3 linked regions of the Drosophila melanogaster genome follow. Changing the gene in region 3 together with the main gene of any one other region gives a genetic interaction. Each region holds a gene or a part of one and is shown on either strand. Other genes may lie near its edges.

Region 1 (5,423 bases), on a different chromosome or scaffold from region 3:
TATTCTTTTTTATGCTGAATGAATTGGAATGTTTAAAAGTTATGAGCTTACTTGGTAGTGGTTCCGCTTTTGGGTGGCGCCACGTTGCCATTTAATATCTGCTCCTGCACCTGCGTCTGGGCGGAGAAGAAAAAGAGGTCCAGCAGGTGGACATTCTGCATAAGAACCACGCACAGCTGGTTCAGCAGGATCACCAGGCGCTTCTCGAGATCGGGCGGAAAGATCTCGCCCTGGCTGGATGCCAGTATCTTGAGCAGGGGTCGCAGGAAGGGCTCGTGGCAGAGCAGCTGGTGGCGCGAGTGGCTGACGAGCAGTTCGTACAGCTTCAGCTGCTCCAGCCTCACAGCGTTGGCATACCGTCCCGTGGTGCAGGCCCACTCGTACAGCTTGTCCAGCAGATTCTCGCTGAGCAGGAATTCCAGGCAGGGCGCCGCAGGCGGACCACTAGCCTCGGCCGCCGGCAGCGAGACTTTGTTGCAGTGATGCAGCTCCACGAGCAGCAGGGTGACCATGTAGTCCAAGTGCGAGACCACGCCCAGCACGTCGTCGTGCGAGGGCGGTGCACTGTGCTGGATGATCTCGAAGGCCTGCTGCCAGTGCTTACAGAAGCTGTCGTAGCAAGCGCGCGGATCGCAGTCTGTGGCAGCGTCGATGGGTCGCTGTCGCAGTGGGCCGACGTGTCCGACGGAGGCAACGCCTCCACCGCTGCTCTGGCGCAGCCACATCGTTGTCGGTGCGGTGTGTGTGCGATTCGGTGGCTTTTAGTGGCGCTGGTCCGCTGATAACTGCTCCGTGTGCGTTTCGTTTGGCATGAATTGGTGGTGCTGGTGCTCTGTTATCTCTCGTTTTGTGCTTTTGTCCGACTGTGTGAGTGGTGAGTATTTCAATGTTGCTCGCTTTTTAAATATTTAGAAGCTAAAAGAAGACGCACTTTAGTTGAATATTCGCTATTTACTTTTCTCTAATGTTCCCAAGAACAACAAGTGACACACTTACGCACACAGCCACACACACACCTGTGTACGTGTGCCCACCTATTTGGGCACTCACTGTGGTTGTTGTTGCTGCTGCTGCTCGCTCACCTGATGAATTTAGATTTGATCATCGTCATCGTCTCCGCTGCTTTCCGCTCTCCGTGCATCGTGCATCTACACCCATTACTGTTTAGTGGCCCTTCTTAGATGGGTTTTCACGCTTGCAGCATTTGCAGCGTTTTTTTTTTTGGCACTTTGGCAATTACAATTACAAATACAATTAAGTGGTAGTACCAACACTTCCGCAGATTTGCGGACTAGATTTGCGTTCTTGCAGCACGAAATTCGCGCTTTTGGCGCGGGTTTTGAAGTCAAGAAAGGGAAGGCAGTCCGGCCCGCACTTTATTGCCTCATTTTGCACTATTTTCGTAGTGTTTCCAAAGCAATTCTGCGTAAATATTTACAATTATATCTGCACGGAAATAGAAAGTTAGCGATGAGCAGCTATCAATATAACATATCGATGTTTCGATTATACCTGAGATACATCGGGAATTTTTGACATCGGGGTGTAGCAATTCCATTTTAGTTTTATTTTTATCTAATTATCTATTCACTTTTAAAACAGCGTGCTATGATCACAAGTATTAGTTTGATTAAATGCGTTCTGTTTCATTATCCCAGCGTTCCACTTACCAGTATTTCTTATCGCCTGTGTGACCAGACTTCCGCGCTTCTATCAGCTGTTCGCGCTACCGCCATTTGAATTTAATGAAATGGTAAATACAAAAATTTGATTTATTTAATTCCATTTCCCTAATCATTTATTCCTAAAGCGGCGCAGTCTGGCTCCCAGCCAACGTGGACCACTGCGTCCCGAGTCCCGTCACTCCTTCACGCCGCCACTGCTGAAGAAAAACAAGCGATCCTGCCAGCAGGAACTGGAGCGAGAGCAAGAACTGGACAGAAGACGACTGGGCGCCCTCCGAGATGCCAGCAACACATCAGAGCTCCCACTGCCTATTCGCTTCACGGCGAACAGCGAGTATGAGTTGGCCATTGCCAAGGTTCTGGCACGGAAGTTCAAGGTGCCCATGGACAATTACGTACCGGATTACGGTGGTAAACGGGTCCTGGGCGTGCGGCGCTGCATTTCCCGACGACCCCTACACGATCCGATGGCCTGCAACGCCTTGGTACTCTTCCATCCACCCGCCTACACAGAACACGAGCGCATGGGCATGGATCCGACCAAGGTTCTGGTGCACGTCGTCGTCGATCCGCTGCTGAGCAACATATTGCGGCCGCACCAGCGCGAGGGAGTGCGTTTCATGTACGAGTGTGTGGAGGGAAAGCGGGGCAACTTCAATGGATGCATCATGGCCGACGAAATGGGTCTCGGGAAGACGCTGCAGTGCGTAACGCTGGTCTGGACACTTCTAAGGCAGGGGCCCGAGTGCAAGCCGACGATCAACAAAGCCATTGTCGTGTCTCCATCATCGCTGGTTAAGAACTGGGAGAAGGAGTTTACCAAGTGGCTTCACGGTCGACTCCTTTGCCTGCCCATGGAGGGCGGGACCAAGGAGAACACCATCCGAGCACTCGAGCAGTTCTCCATGACTTCTGCCCGGCTGGGGACACCTGTTCTGCTCATCAGCTACGAGACATTTCGCATCTACGCGGAGATCCTGTGCAAGTACGAGGTGGGAATGGTGATATGCGACGAGGGACATCGCCTCAAGAACAGCGACAATCTGACGTATCAGGCTCTCATGGGACTGAAGACAAAGCGACGGGTCTTGCTTTCCGGCACTCCCATCCAGAACGATCTTACTGAGTACTACAGCCTGGTGAACTTTGTAAACCCGGAGATGCTGGGAACGGCGGCCGTGTTTAAGCGCAACTTCGAGAGCGCTATTCTGCGGGGCCAGAATACTGACTCCACGGAACAGGAGCGACAACGGGCCATAGAGAAGACACAGGAGCTGATAGGTCTGGTCGATCAGTGCATCATTCGTCGCACTAATCAAATTCTAACCAAATATCTGCCGGTTAAGTTTGAAATGGTTATCTGTGCGAAACTGACGGCGATTCAACTCGAGCTATACACGAATTTCTTGAAGTCTGATCAAGTTCGACGTAGTTTGGCGGGTAAGTCATTAGGCAATACTACCACAACATTCCTACCATTTACAATTCCCTTCAAGATTGCAATGAAAAGGCTTCGCTTACGGCGCTGGCAGACATTACAACGCTTAAGAAGATTTGCAGTCATCCGGATCTCATATATGAGAAGCTCACTGCGCGGGAAAAGGGATTCGAAAACTCCCAAAATGTGCTGCCTAGTAATTACAAACCAAAGTACGTCGCCTGTTGCGCGCGAATAGCAATGGCTATTAATGAATCTTTTGTGTTCCAGGGATCTCAATCCAGAGCTAAGTGGCAAGTTCATGCTCCTGGATTTCATGCTGGCAGCAATACGTGCAGAGGGCAACGACAAGGTGGTTCTCATTTCCAATTACACACAGACCCTGGACTTGTTCGAGCAGCTCGCGAGGAAGCGAAAGTACGGATTTGTCCGGCTTGATGGCACCATGTCCATCAAGAAGCGATCGAAGGTTGTTGACCGATTCAATGACCCGGAGTCTGACAGCTTCCTTTTCATGCTGAGCAGCAAGGCTGGCGGCTGCGGCTTGAATTTGATTGGAGCCAACCGCCTGTTCATGTTTGACCCAGACTGGAATCCGGCCAACGATGAGCAGGCAATGGCCAGAGTGTGGCGTGACGGGCAAAAGAAGCCCTGTTACATATATCGCCTCGTTGCCGTGAGTACCTGAATTGGTTCTGCACGGAACTTTCTTTTTCAACTCAAGAAATCTCTTTCAGAGTGGTTCCATCGAGGAGAAGATCCTGCAGCGACAGACGCACAAAAAATCCCTGTCGAGCACCATCATTGACAACAACGAGTCGGCCGAGAAGCATTTCACCCGCGACGATCTGAAGGACTTGTTTACATTTGATGCGAACATTCTGTCCGACACACACGACAAGTAAGAACTGGCTTTGGATACCCTTTAGATCATGATCGTGTAACATATCTTTTCAGGCTCAAGTGTAAGCGCTGCGTTCAAAATATACAAATGAAGCCACCGCCCGAGGACACGGACTGCACCTCGCATTTGTCACAATGGTACCATTGCTCCAACAACAGAGGCCTGCCTGACAATATTCTCGCCCAGGCCTGGATGGATTGCAAGTGCGTGTCCTTTGTCTTCCACCACCGATCGCAGGCTCAGGAAATTGTGCCGAGTGCTGAGGAGGAAGCAACAGATCAGCCAGAGGAAAAACCAGAAAGCCGCAAACGATCATCCACGCCCGCCAGTGATGACAGTGCCGATGAGGACTTCCGTGGATTCTAGCAATTGTTTGCAGTTTATTGTTTCTCGAATTTCCTTTTTCTTCGCACTTAAGTCTAAACTTAAGATAACTTTTTCTGGCTTCCTTTGCAATCCTAACAAGTTATTAATTTAACATTTCAAAAATGGAACCAGCACAAAATGTTAACGTGCTAGGGGTGAAGGCTTCTATAAACTAATCTGGCAATGTAGGAGTCAGTCCAGAAAATAGTTTACTTTTTTGTGAAATACTGATCAATTTCTATACTCTTAACTGGCCGCCAATCGGGCAAAGTAGTAGGTTAACATAGCTTAGGACAAATACAAGCAAACATCGAAATTCGGATTCTAGTGTGTATTCACTTGCTTAAGCGCAAAGTTATTTAAGTTGGTTACTTAAAATCAACAGCCATCTCCGCTAGCACGTTATTCTCTGCACATAAAAAGCAATTTGGCGTATAGCAACGTCCGGATTAAAACCCTGTCAGATACAGATTAATATTATGCGTGTGTATATGTATAAGTATTAAACCATTCGCAGTGTTAACACAGTCAATTGAACACTTGATGTATTCGGGTCTATACATCAATAATTTTATGCTCCAGCTCCACCCAGACGTTGCTCTTCTCCGGCGCCTTGAGGAGCGGCTGTTGCTGCAGCTCGGCCAAAAACCCACCGATGGCCTGATAGTACCTAAAAAGCAAGCACACCCATGGATAAATGGGAAAGTGAAGATTAATTGCCGGCCATACCCGTCCACTATCCAAGTGTCGTTGTGCGATCCGCCGGGGAATTCGAGCAGGCGCTTTATCTCGCTGCCGCATTTGGTATACAAGGCACGCATCATGCGCGGTGGCACTAAGTTGTCCGCAAGGCCCGAAATAAACAAAAAGGGAACCGAACACTTGCCTATCTTGCTCATGGAGTGATACTGCATGTGAAACAACAAACAATAATGTGGTAATGAGATAAAGTAAACAGAGGGCTCAACCGGCGACGACTACCCACCTTATTCTTAAATAATAGATTTGGTATATACTTCACAGCGGGATG
Region 2 (4,799 bases), on a different chromosome or scaffold from region 3:
TATACAGCGTTTGCAACTCGGCGATTAGCTCGGTGGATCCCTGGTCCACATTACAAATGGTGTGTGCCTTTTCGATAGCCTGAATGGTGCTCTTTAGCTCCTCCTTGTTTAGCATGCGCTCAGTCATTGGTCGCTTTTTGGCCGGCTGGTCGATGACCGCGGACGCGTAGGCTAGCAGAAACATATACTTCGGTTTGTGCTCGGGATTGATTTTAACGCCGGAACGAAAGAGCGCGTCTACCAGTAGCTCCAGAAACTGGGGGTTTCGTATCAAGTCGATGGGCGGTGGATCGGAACCGGAGTAGTTGCGAAACAGCACGGTGATATCGGCGGGATTCAGTGTATTGCGGGTGAGCATGGAAGTTAGGGCTTGACATGCTTGCGGATAGACTGCCGAACCATTCAGGGCCATTGTAATAGGCGTTACATTTTGATTGCTAAACAATGAAGCAAAAGAAAGGATTTATGTTATGACTAACTATGTGGAATCGTCAGTTATTTTCATACTTCTGCAGGGCGTATTTAATAATTTCCTGAGAGAGCCGCTTCATGTTGAACCCACCCTTCTGCTCCTGGCTGAGGACCTGGATGAGCACCTGGGAGTATACGTAAGTGTGCTGGCCATGGCAGACCATTCGTGCGCACTCCTGAATGGCACCGTGCACATCATCCGGATTGTTTAGAAATTTGACGATCGAGGTCTTTAGAACCCGCGAGAAAACCTCAATCTGCTGTGCCGCTGTCGAAATGGAAGTGATCTCGCTCTGGAAGCCCGCGTCCGAGATCAACTTGATTGTAAAGTTCAGCATTAGACAATCGGGATATTCTTCGGCCAGTCGGTAGATTAGCGAGCGCCACGTATAGTGGTCGATCATCTCGGTTAGCCAGTCGGGCGTCTCACCCTCCTCCGTGAATATGGTGTCCGCCTTCTTGGGATCGAAGGACTTAAGAATCATTTCCTTGAGATGATTCTCCACCATGGCCTGGACTTCGGTAACCTTGACGCCCGCCAGGATGAGCCATTCCGCAAGCAGGTTGGCCATCTGGGCCACCGCCTTGTAGTTCTCGGATAGCATCGATATAACCTCCTCCGGAGATCCGCCCGACTGAAAGTAGCGCTTCAGCTGCGTAAATATCCCCGGCTCCATGATGTAGTCCGGTGTGAGGAACTTCTCCAGGCATTCCTGTATCGTCTTCTGCGGATTGTCCTCAAGCGTTTCCTTCGATTGGGATGGGATAACATGATGTTTAGTTGTTATTTTTTATGGTTTATCTAGTAGCGTCATCAAATTGCCGGGATTGCCTGCCACGCCGTACACGCTCTATACTCAATTACCTCCGGATTGGTTTGTCCTTTGGCGCGGCCCTGCCAACCAGAGTCGTCGTATTCCACTTCCATTTTTTCTCAAAAACTTATTTACAATAACATAAAAATATTTTTCTTATTTTGATTAACTATGCATTTTTAGTGTGACTGTAAATTGTTAACCACGACGCGCACACCTACGCGGGTTATGCGCCGTTTACACTTAGCAAACTCTTCTGTTAATTTCATATTATGCAATGTAAATCTTAAATTTGAGGAGAAAAAGAAAATTGTCAATAAGTGTAAAACGCGGTAATGTAAACATATATTAACTAATTTTTTTTTAAATTAATATATGTAAAATCGCAGTTGGAACGTGGCTGTTATTCAAGAAAAAGAAGAAGAAGCTGCCAAACATATCGATAGCCACAAGTGCGGCGAATGCCGGCTTTCGTAAACAAAGGTCGCGTTTTTGCGAGTTTTAAATAAACTTGGCAAAATGTCGACACAACGGAAGGATATGTGGAAGTTGCTTTACAACCACGTAAACCGGAACGTAAGCAACTTTTCCGGCGTGTACAGCGTTATAGAAGACATATTGTGCCAGGAGCCGAGTCTGATAAGCTGTTCGTTGGTGCGGGAGCTGCACAACAAATTCCAGGACACATTCCTACTCTGGCTGCTCAACAAGCTGGCCAAGTGCCTTAGTGAATCTCCAGATAGCAGGTAAGATGAGCCACAAGCATTGGACTCCAAACTTATGACACACCGTTTTTCTGCTGCAGCGAGTGCATCAATCTTCAAAGGAAAATACTGAGCTCCTGCTGTTCCAATCATCCTAAGCTTTTTGAACGCCTTGTACTGGCCTATGTGGAAGCCATTGAGGAGACGCACCTTCAGCTAAGTTCCCTGGACCTCGGCCAATTGAGTAATGAGCGAAAACCCGCCATAACTGTAAGAATATTCCGATGCGATGTGGAATGCCTGCAGGAGTTCGATCCGCACTGCGCTATCGAGGACATCAAGGTGCCCCTTGAGCAAGCCGACATGTATGCCAAGAGCCTGCTGGAGGTCCTCCAGCATGCCCATCACATTGGATACGCCACGCACGGCGACATCTTCTCGGGCAGCCTTCATCAGGCTCTGCTAATCCTCAAGGAGTGCGACATGGACACAAAACTGGCCAGCTTGAATTACTGTCACAATGTCCTACGATCACAGTCGGCCAGCAGCTGGATAACAAATCCGGACGTTGGACATTATGCGCAATTAACGTTGGAGGCGACGGCAATCATGTGGTCGGCAGTAGCCAAGTGGCTGGACATGGGATGTATGACGCGCCAGGAGCTAAAACGGCTCAATATAACAACAAAGCTACTGCTAGAAGTTCTGCATATGCGTGCACGTCCAGCCCACCATCTTGGCTACCTGCTTTTGAACGAGATCCTTAGTTTGCCGACAGCCATTGAATTGGACGATGGACTGCTGGAGACCCTAAGTTCCTATATTCAAGGCCAGCTAGAGCATTCGGTTGTACCATTGGAGCAACTGGTGCACTTGCAGCAGCTTATGTTAAGCCATTGGCACTGCCACCCCACACATTTGGTGCCCATATTGGCGCTAATGGGCTTGAAACAGACTGAGATGCGCTCAGGAGTGGTCCAAGTGCTTACCCAAAGTCTCGTTGAAATCTTGAAGAAGGAAGAAGTATTGTCGAAGGATTGGCAGAAACTGATTGCTATTTTACGAGGCTTCAAGCAGCTGGAGAAACTAATTCTGTCACAGAGTCAGCATAAAATAGCTGAGCACGAAGGTCACATCGATTCCTCAGTTCTGGCCATGTTACCGCTGCAGTGTGAAATCATAAAGGTTGCGGATACCAATTGGAATAACCTTTCAATGCAGCTGGTTGAGCTGGAATCAAAGTGTTCCGCAGACCGAAGACACATACACTTGGAAATCTGCTCCCTTTTGATGCAAATCACCTTCATCCGGCACTTTTTAAAGACTCAAACGCAACACCAGCTGCTGGCCATTCTTCAGCGACATTTGAAGCTGTCCTACCTTTGCGCCATTCGCTTGGAGACACCTTCTAGTGTTCATACCCAAATGCAAAGCTTCTATGCCCAGCAGTACATGAGGCTATTTCAATCCGAGGAGACACAGGAGATATTCTGTAGCAACCTTCCGCAGTTGTACATATCGGGTTTCATAAAGCCGGAGCAACTGATGAAAGCTCTGCCCACCATTAACAATCGTAGTGGCCGCGCTCAAGTTATACGCCTATTGCTCTGCTCCCAGCCAGGTAAATTGAGTGTCTTTAAAGTCAAAGATCGCATTGAGCTATACTGCCCGAAATGCAGGCCACTGCCAAAGAAACTGCCAGGTATTTACCTCGGAAAATGCAAGCAACAGCTGCCATGTCCAGACTTTTCAAGCACCAACCTCGAAATGATAGCAAATGATTTATTGTTTTATCCCGATTTTGAATGTATTGCCCAGCATCTGGACCTTCTGTGCTTTGAACCCAATGTGATTCTTGGCCTGCTAAGAGAAACGGAGGCACTGCAAAAGGTTAGCGTTAAGGTTATCGGCCAGCTGGTCTCTGCGATGCGTGTGCGTTCGCCAGAATTCTTGGAGCAATTAGCCAATCTTGTTCTAGCTGCTATAAAAGCAATGCTAGCAAAGCCACTGACAGAGCAAAATGTGCTGCAGCAAAGAAGTATGCTCAACGTACTGACCGCCATTGCGCACATGGAGGATAATGAAATCTGGCTCTTTCACTGGTTCAAAATGACATTCTTCTTTCTGGTGCACACTCGCTCACTGGTGGCGCAAGAAGCTGTGCTGGCGGCCACCGAGATGTGTGCCAGCCAGGGTCTGCAGACGATTCATCTGTGGAACTGGTACAAGCGAGATGCTCTCGACCTCACCGTTCGCCTGGCTTTGAACGTTTATCTTTTGGATGGCGTACGCTTCACCCGATCCCTCCGAGCGGTGCGTAAATAGACGAACTTTTCTTCACTTCCCAAAATTTGACCGGTCTGTTTGCAGCTTACGAAAATGTTGGGATTCACGTGCGTTCAGGAGTTCACCTGCAAGTATCATCGCCTTCTGACTGCCATGGTCCTGCCGCATTGCATCGTGAATCCGCTTTGCAAGGGAGTTTTGGTATTGATAGCCAAACAAATGCAGAAACACATTGGCACCTTGTTCTCCATCTCGTTCCTGCGGATCTACACACACGTCTTCCTGACCGAGGAACCGGAGTTGGCCAATAGTTGCATCGAGCTGGTGGTCAGTTGCACCCAGTCCAGCCTGCAACAGCTAATGAATGCGGATGTCAAGGTGGGCAGAAGTTAATTTATATTTTATTATTTTATCTTTTATTTTATTTTATTTGATTTGGTTATCACTTGTAGCAAACGGTGGCCGAGTTGCTTATATATTTCAACCGAAACCCCACATTCGTGATGCGATCCTTTCAAAGCCT
Region 3 (3,261 bases):
CCATACACAAGGGACAGCGACGACATCCCCAGGAAATGCAGGGGCTGCTGGAAAGGCTGGCAGACAATCATCCATTGACCGCGTCGCAGTACGAGGTGATTCTTAAGTACCTCGAAGGCGAACGCGAGGAGCAACTGAAGCGAGAGGTGGGCGAGGCCAATGCTCTGGCCAAGCTAAAAGCTCCCGATCCAGAGATCGAGCTGCAGAAGAAGATTCTTAGCATCATGAACAAGCCGGCAGTAACCGATGTCACCAGCGAGCTCATGTATCCCACTTTCGAGGCAGTCAAGGAGGACAGAAGGCTAATGGAGCTACTTGCTGACGATCGAGTGTTGGCGGCCCTGGAAAGTGTTTACAACTCGGATCTCAGACAGATTTTAGCCGAGTATTTATAGACTACCAATACTTAGTAGTATTCATTAATTTTAGCCATTAAGCATATTTAACATTTAATAAATGTAATACCTAATATATATGACGTAAATCTCGGGCTTCCAGAATGCATTTAATAAGTGTAAGACATTAACAACTAACAATTGGCTGTTTCTAAGGCCAGGATCGCTTGGCTTCGTGTCCCTCGTACTTTCCACGGTACTTGAGACCGGTGACTAGGGTGGAGCTCTTGGGGAAAGCCGTTTTGCCGTCGAATTTGGTATCTGTCTCGGGATGGAATCGCACGTACTCGTACTGGATGTGCAAATTCTCCGGCAGCTCGATGCGCTTCAGTGCATCAAACGGCACGGTGGTGTCCACAGCTGTTTGGTAGAAAGCGATAACATCGCTGACGGTGCGCAGTTCATGTACCTGGGAGTTGGGCACTCCGTGCTGCAGCTCCTGGAAGCACGCGTTCAGGAATTCGAATTTCTCGGAGAGATTCCCCAACTGGTCGGATTTCAGTTGAAGCGAGGCGGCTACGGTTCGAATACGTTCGGCGGCATCTGCAGGTGGGGAGTACGGCTTATGGGGACGCAAGAAGCTACAATCAGGAGAATATTTACTTGGTTTTTATGTAAATAAATTAAAGAAAGTGCTTACCCCTTGGCGGCGATGGACTCGCCGACAGCTGAAATGGTGCTGGTTTTGACGGGCTTTGCTTTTGCGGCCTTGGCGGCGGAGGCAAAACTCCTATGCAGGCTTCCCGCAAGCTAAATTCATGGTGGCATTGGATTTTAAGTGAACATTTTTATTATTTTTTACTTACAATTAGGGTTTTACGTAAAATCGCTGCCATTGGATGTGACCAGATTGAAAACAATGCGGCATGGCAGTCAATACTGAAAATATATTCACTATACTTACAGGTAAGGAGATGGTAACACAAAAATACTGCATTGAGCGTTGCCAGGTGGACTCACTGTTTACCCACTGTTAAATTTATAAACAAACTTAAAAAAAATGAAAACATTATGAGTATTGAGTTATTTTTAGTCGAAGATCTATCTCATAATAGTCTTTCTTGAAACAAATTTTAGTTTAAGCAACAATAAGTGATAGGATTTTATTTTAAAAATATATTACCTCATCAATTTCAATTTAAATCTAAATTCGACATAACTTTACGAACGATAACTTTATTAAATTGCGTGGCAGCTCTAAGCTTTTGTCGATAATAAGGTCCTGTTATTCAATTGATAAGTCCTGCTATCGCGCCAACTGTTATTTTTTTATAATTTTGCATTGAATAATAGTTTTAAACTACATTGGTGTTCTTTATGTAGTATAAAACAGTATGGACAGGACAACAGTTGTCCCGAGTCCGGCCTCCACCTACTGCTCCTTTATGGGTGGCTCCCAGCACTCCCCATTGCGGCGATCACAGCGCCTCATCGACAAGGAAAACCGGGATCTGCAGAAGATTCCGCCCAAAAGTCTTTCTCCTCAGTTATTTGGAAACACTGAAGATGATTACAGTGAACTATTGTTGCAGCAAGGGAAAGTGGTTCACCTGAAGCCTGCAGCTAAGTTGGTGCCCGTGAGATCCTCGGATAATCTAGTCCATCTTGGATCCCGGGATAAAGTTGTCCCCTTGAAAACTTCCAATAGAATCGTTCACCTGAAGCCTCCATATAAGATTATCCACCTCAAAAGTTTAGATGAAGTTGAAAAGACCGTAAAGAAGAAGAATAATATTCAGAAAGAAGTTCATCAAAGGAATTCACAAAGGAGAAGCATTCAATGCACTCCCAAAAAACGTGGTCGAAAACCAAAGCAACCGGCTAAGAAACTGCAGTCAAGAATTTCCACCGATCAGCTAGGAAGCACACCATCGCCATCCAAGCTGCCTGCCAAATATCCCGCCCATTTTGTTCATCAACTTCCGCCCGCTGAGGATTCCAGCTGTGCCACTCGAAGACGATCCTTATCTGCTCCAGCTATGCAACTTAGCGATCTAAGCCTCACACCCGATGAGATCCAAACTCCGGAGCGGCGCGGTGAAATCGTAAACAAATCGCCATCGGATCTCGACTCCGATGTCTCCTTGAACTTCTCGCTGTCCGATTCCATTGGCGAGATCTTCGGCACCAAGGACATCAGCAGCATTCTGACCATGCAGCGGCCGCGTCAGTACATTTTGCTGGAGGAGCATCTGCCCACACTGGCCACCATGTTGAACGTTGACTTGGAGCGACTGCGCTGCGTGCTGGATATCACTCAGGGCTTGAGCCACGAGCAAATCCTGCGCTTTCCGATAAAACATGAAGAGGATGAATTGGAAGTACCTTAGATATGATGGGGAACTTATAGCAGTAGTATAATGTTTTCACTTTGAATAGTTTTAATGTCCAAGTCCAACATATTTAATTCCCATAAGATCCTTGTTGCTTTAACTTAACATTTAAAATGTATATCTCCCTTTTTTTTTGTATATTTTTAAGTGGTATTTAATTGTTGTTGTTTTTTGTTGTTGTTGTTTCTTTTTCGTTATTTTGCCTTAGACTTTCAGAGTGCACAATTTTTGTTTAAACCATTTACTTTTTTGTATATTTTAAATTACTAATGCTAAACGTTATCTAGACTTTATCATACTTCATAATTGGTTTCCTTTCCTCCACGACAATACAGCAGCAATCGATCGGGGTTTTTTTTTGTATCTGTTACTAAGTTTTCTTTTTTGTTTACTGTGTTTCTCATTTAACGTATATACAACCGCGTGAATTTGGAGTTGCAGCTCCCTAGTAGTCGCTGTCGTAGCTTCCGTCCTGCTGCGCCTGCGTCGAGTCATCGGAACGCTCCGAAGTGGGCTCCAGATCAACGTCCAGG

What was found. A genetic interaction does not mean that the proteins touch.
Region 1: of mei-P22 (region 3) and okr, changing one suppresses a phenotype caused by changing the other (phenotypic suppression), as found in Drosophila melanogaster (one study listed by BioGRID).
Region 2: of mei-P22 (region 3) and mei-41, changing one suppresses a phenotype caused by changing the other (phenotypic suppression), as found in Drosophila melanogaster (one study listed by BioGRID).

What each region holds. Positions count from the first base shown.
Region 1 is NT_033779.5:2,989,037-2,994,459, reverse strand, and holds okr (okra), read left to right. Parts: upstream 1-1,700; 5' UTR 1,701-1,750; coding exon 1,751-1,753; intron 1,754-1,810; coding exon 1,811-3,125; intron 3,126-3,181; coding exon 3,182-3,335; intron 3,336-3,393; coding exon 3,394-3,799; intron 3,800-3,860; coding exon 3,861-4,024; intron 4,025-4,080; coding exon 4,081-4,393; 3' UTR 4,394-4,866; downstream 4,867-5,423. Other genes in the region: CG3558 (uncharacterized protein), read right to left, coding at 52-725; Bem46, read right to left, coding at 4,949-5,063, 5,123-5,301, 5,379-5,423.
Region 2 is NC_004354.4:16,389,956-16,394,754, forward strand, and holds the start of mei-41 (meiotic 41), read left to right. Parts: upstream 1-1,742; 5' UTR 1,743-1,805; coding exon 1,806-2,032; intron 2,033-2,091; coding exon 2,092-4,303; intron 4,304-4,360; coding exon 4,361-4,654; intron 4,655-4,728; coding exon 4,729-4,799. Other genes in the region: TH1, read right to left, coding at 1-437, 508-1,220, 1,337-1,399. UniProt on the Drosophila melanogaster protein: Serine/threonine protein kinase which activates checkpoint signaling upon genotoxic stresses such as ionizing radiation (IR), ultraviolet light (UV), or DNA replication stalling, thereby acting as a DNA damage sensor.
Region 3 is NT_037436.4:7,242,659-7,245,919, forward strand, and holds mei-P22 (meiotic P22), read left to right. Parts: upstream 1-1,729; coding exon 1,730-2,725; downstream 2,726-3,261. Other genes in the region: Neos (neosin), read left to right, coding at 1-395; mRpL50 (mitochondrial ribosomal protein L50), read right to left, coding at 547-976, 1,036-1,145, 1,202-1,231; Cdc27 (cell division cycle 27), read right to left, coding at 3,174-3,261. UniProt on the Drosophila melanogaster protein: Required for formation of the mei-W68-mediated double-strand breaks (DSBs) that initiate meiotic recombination.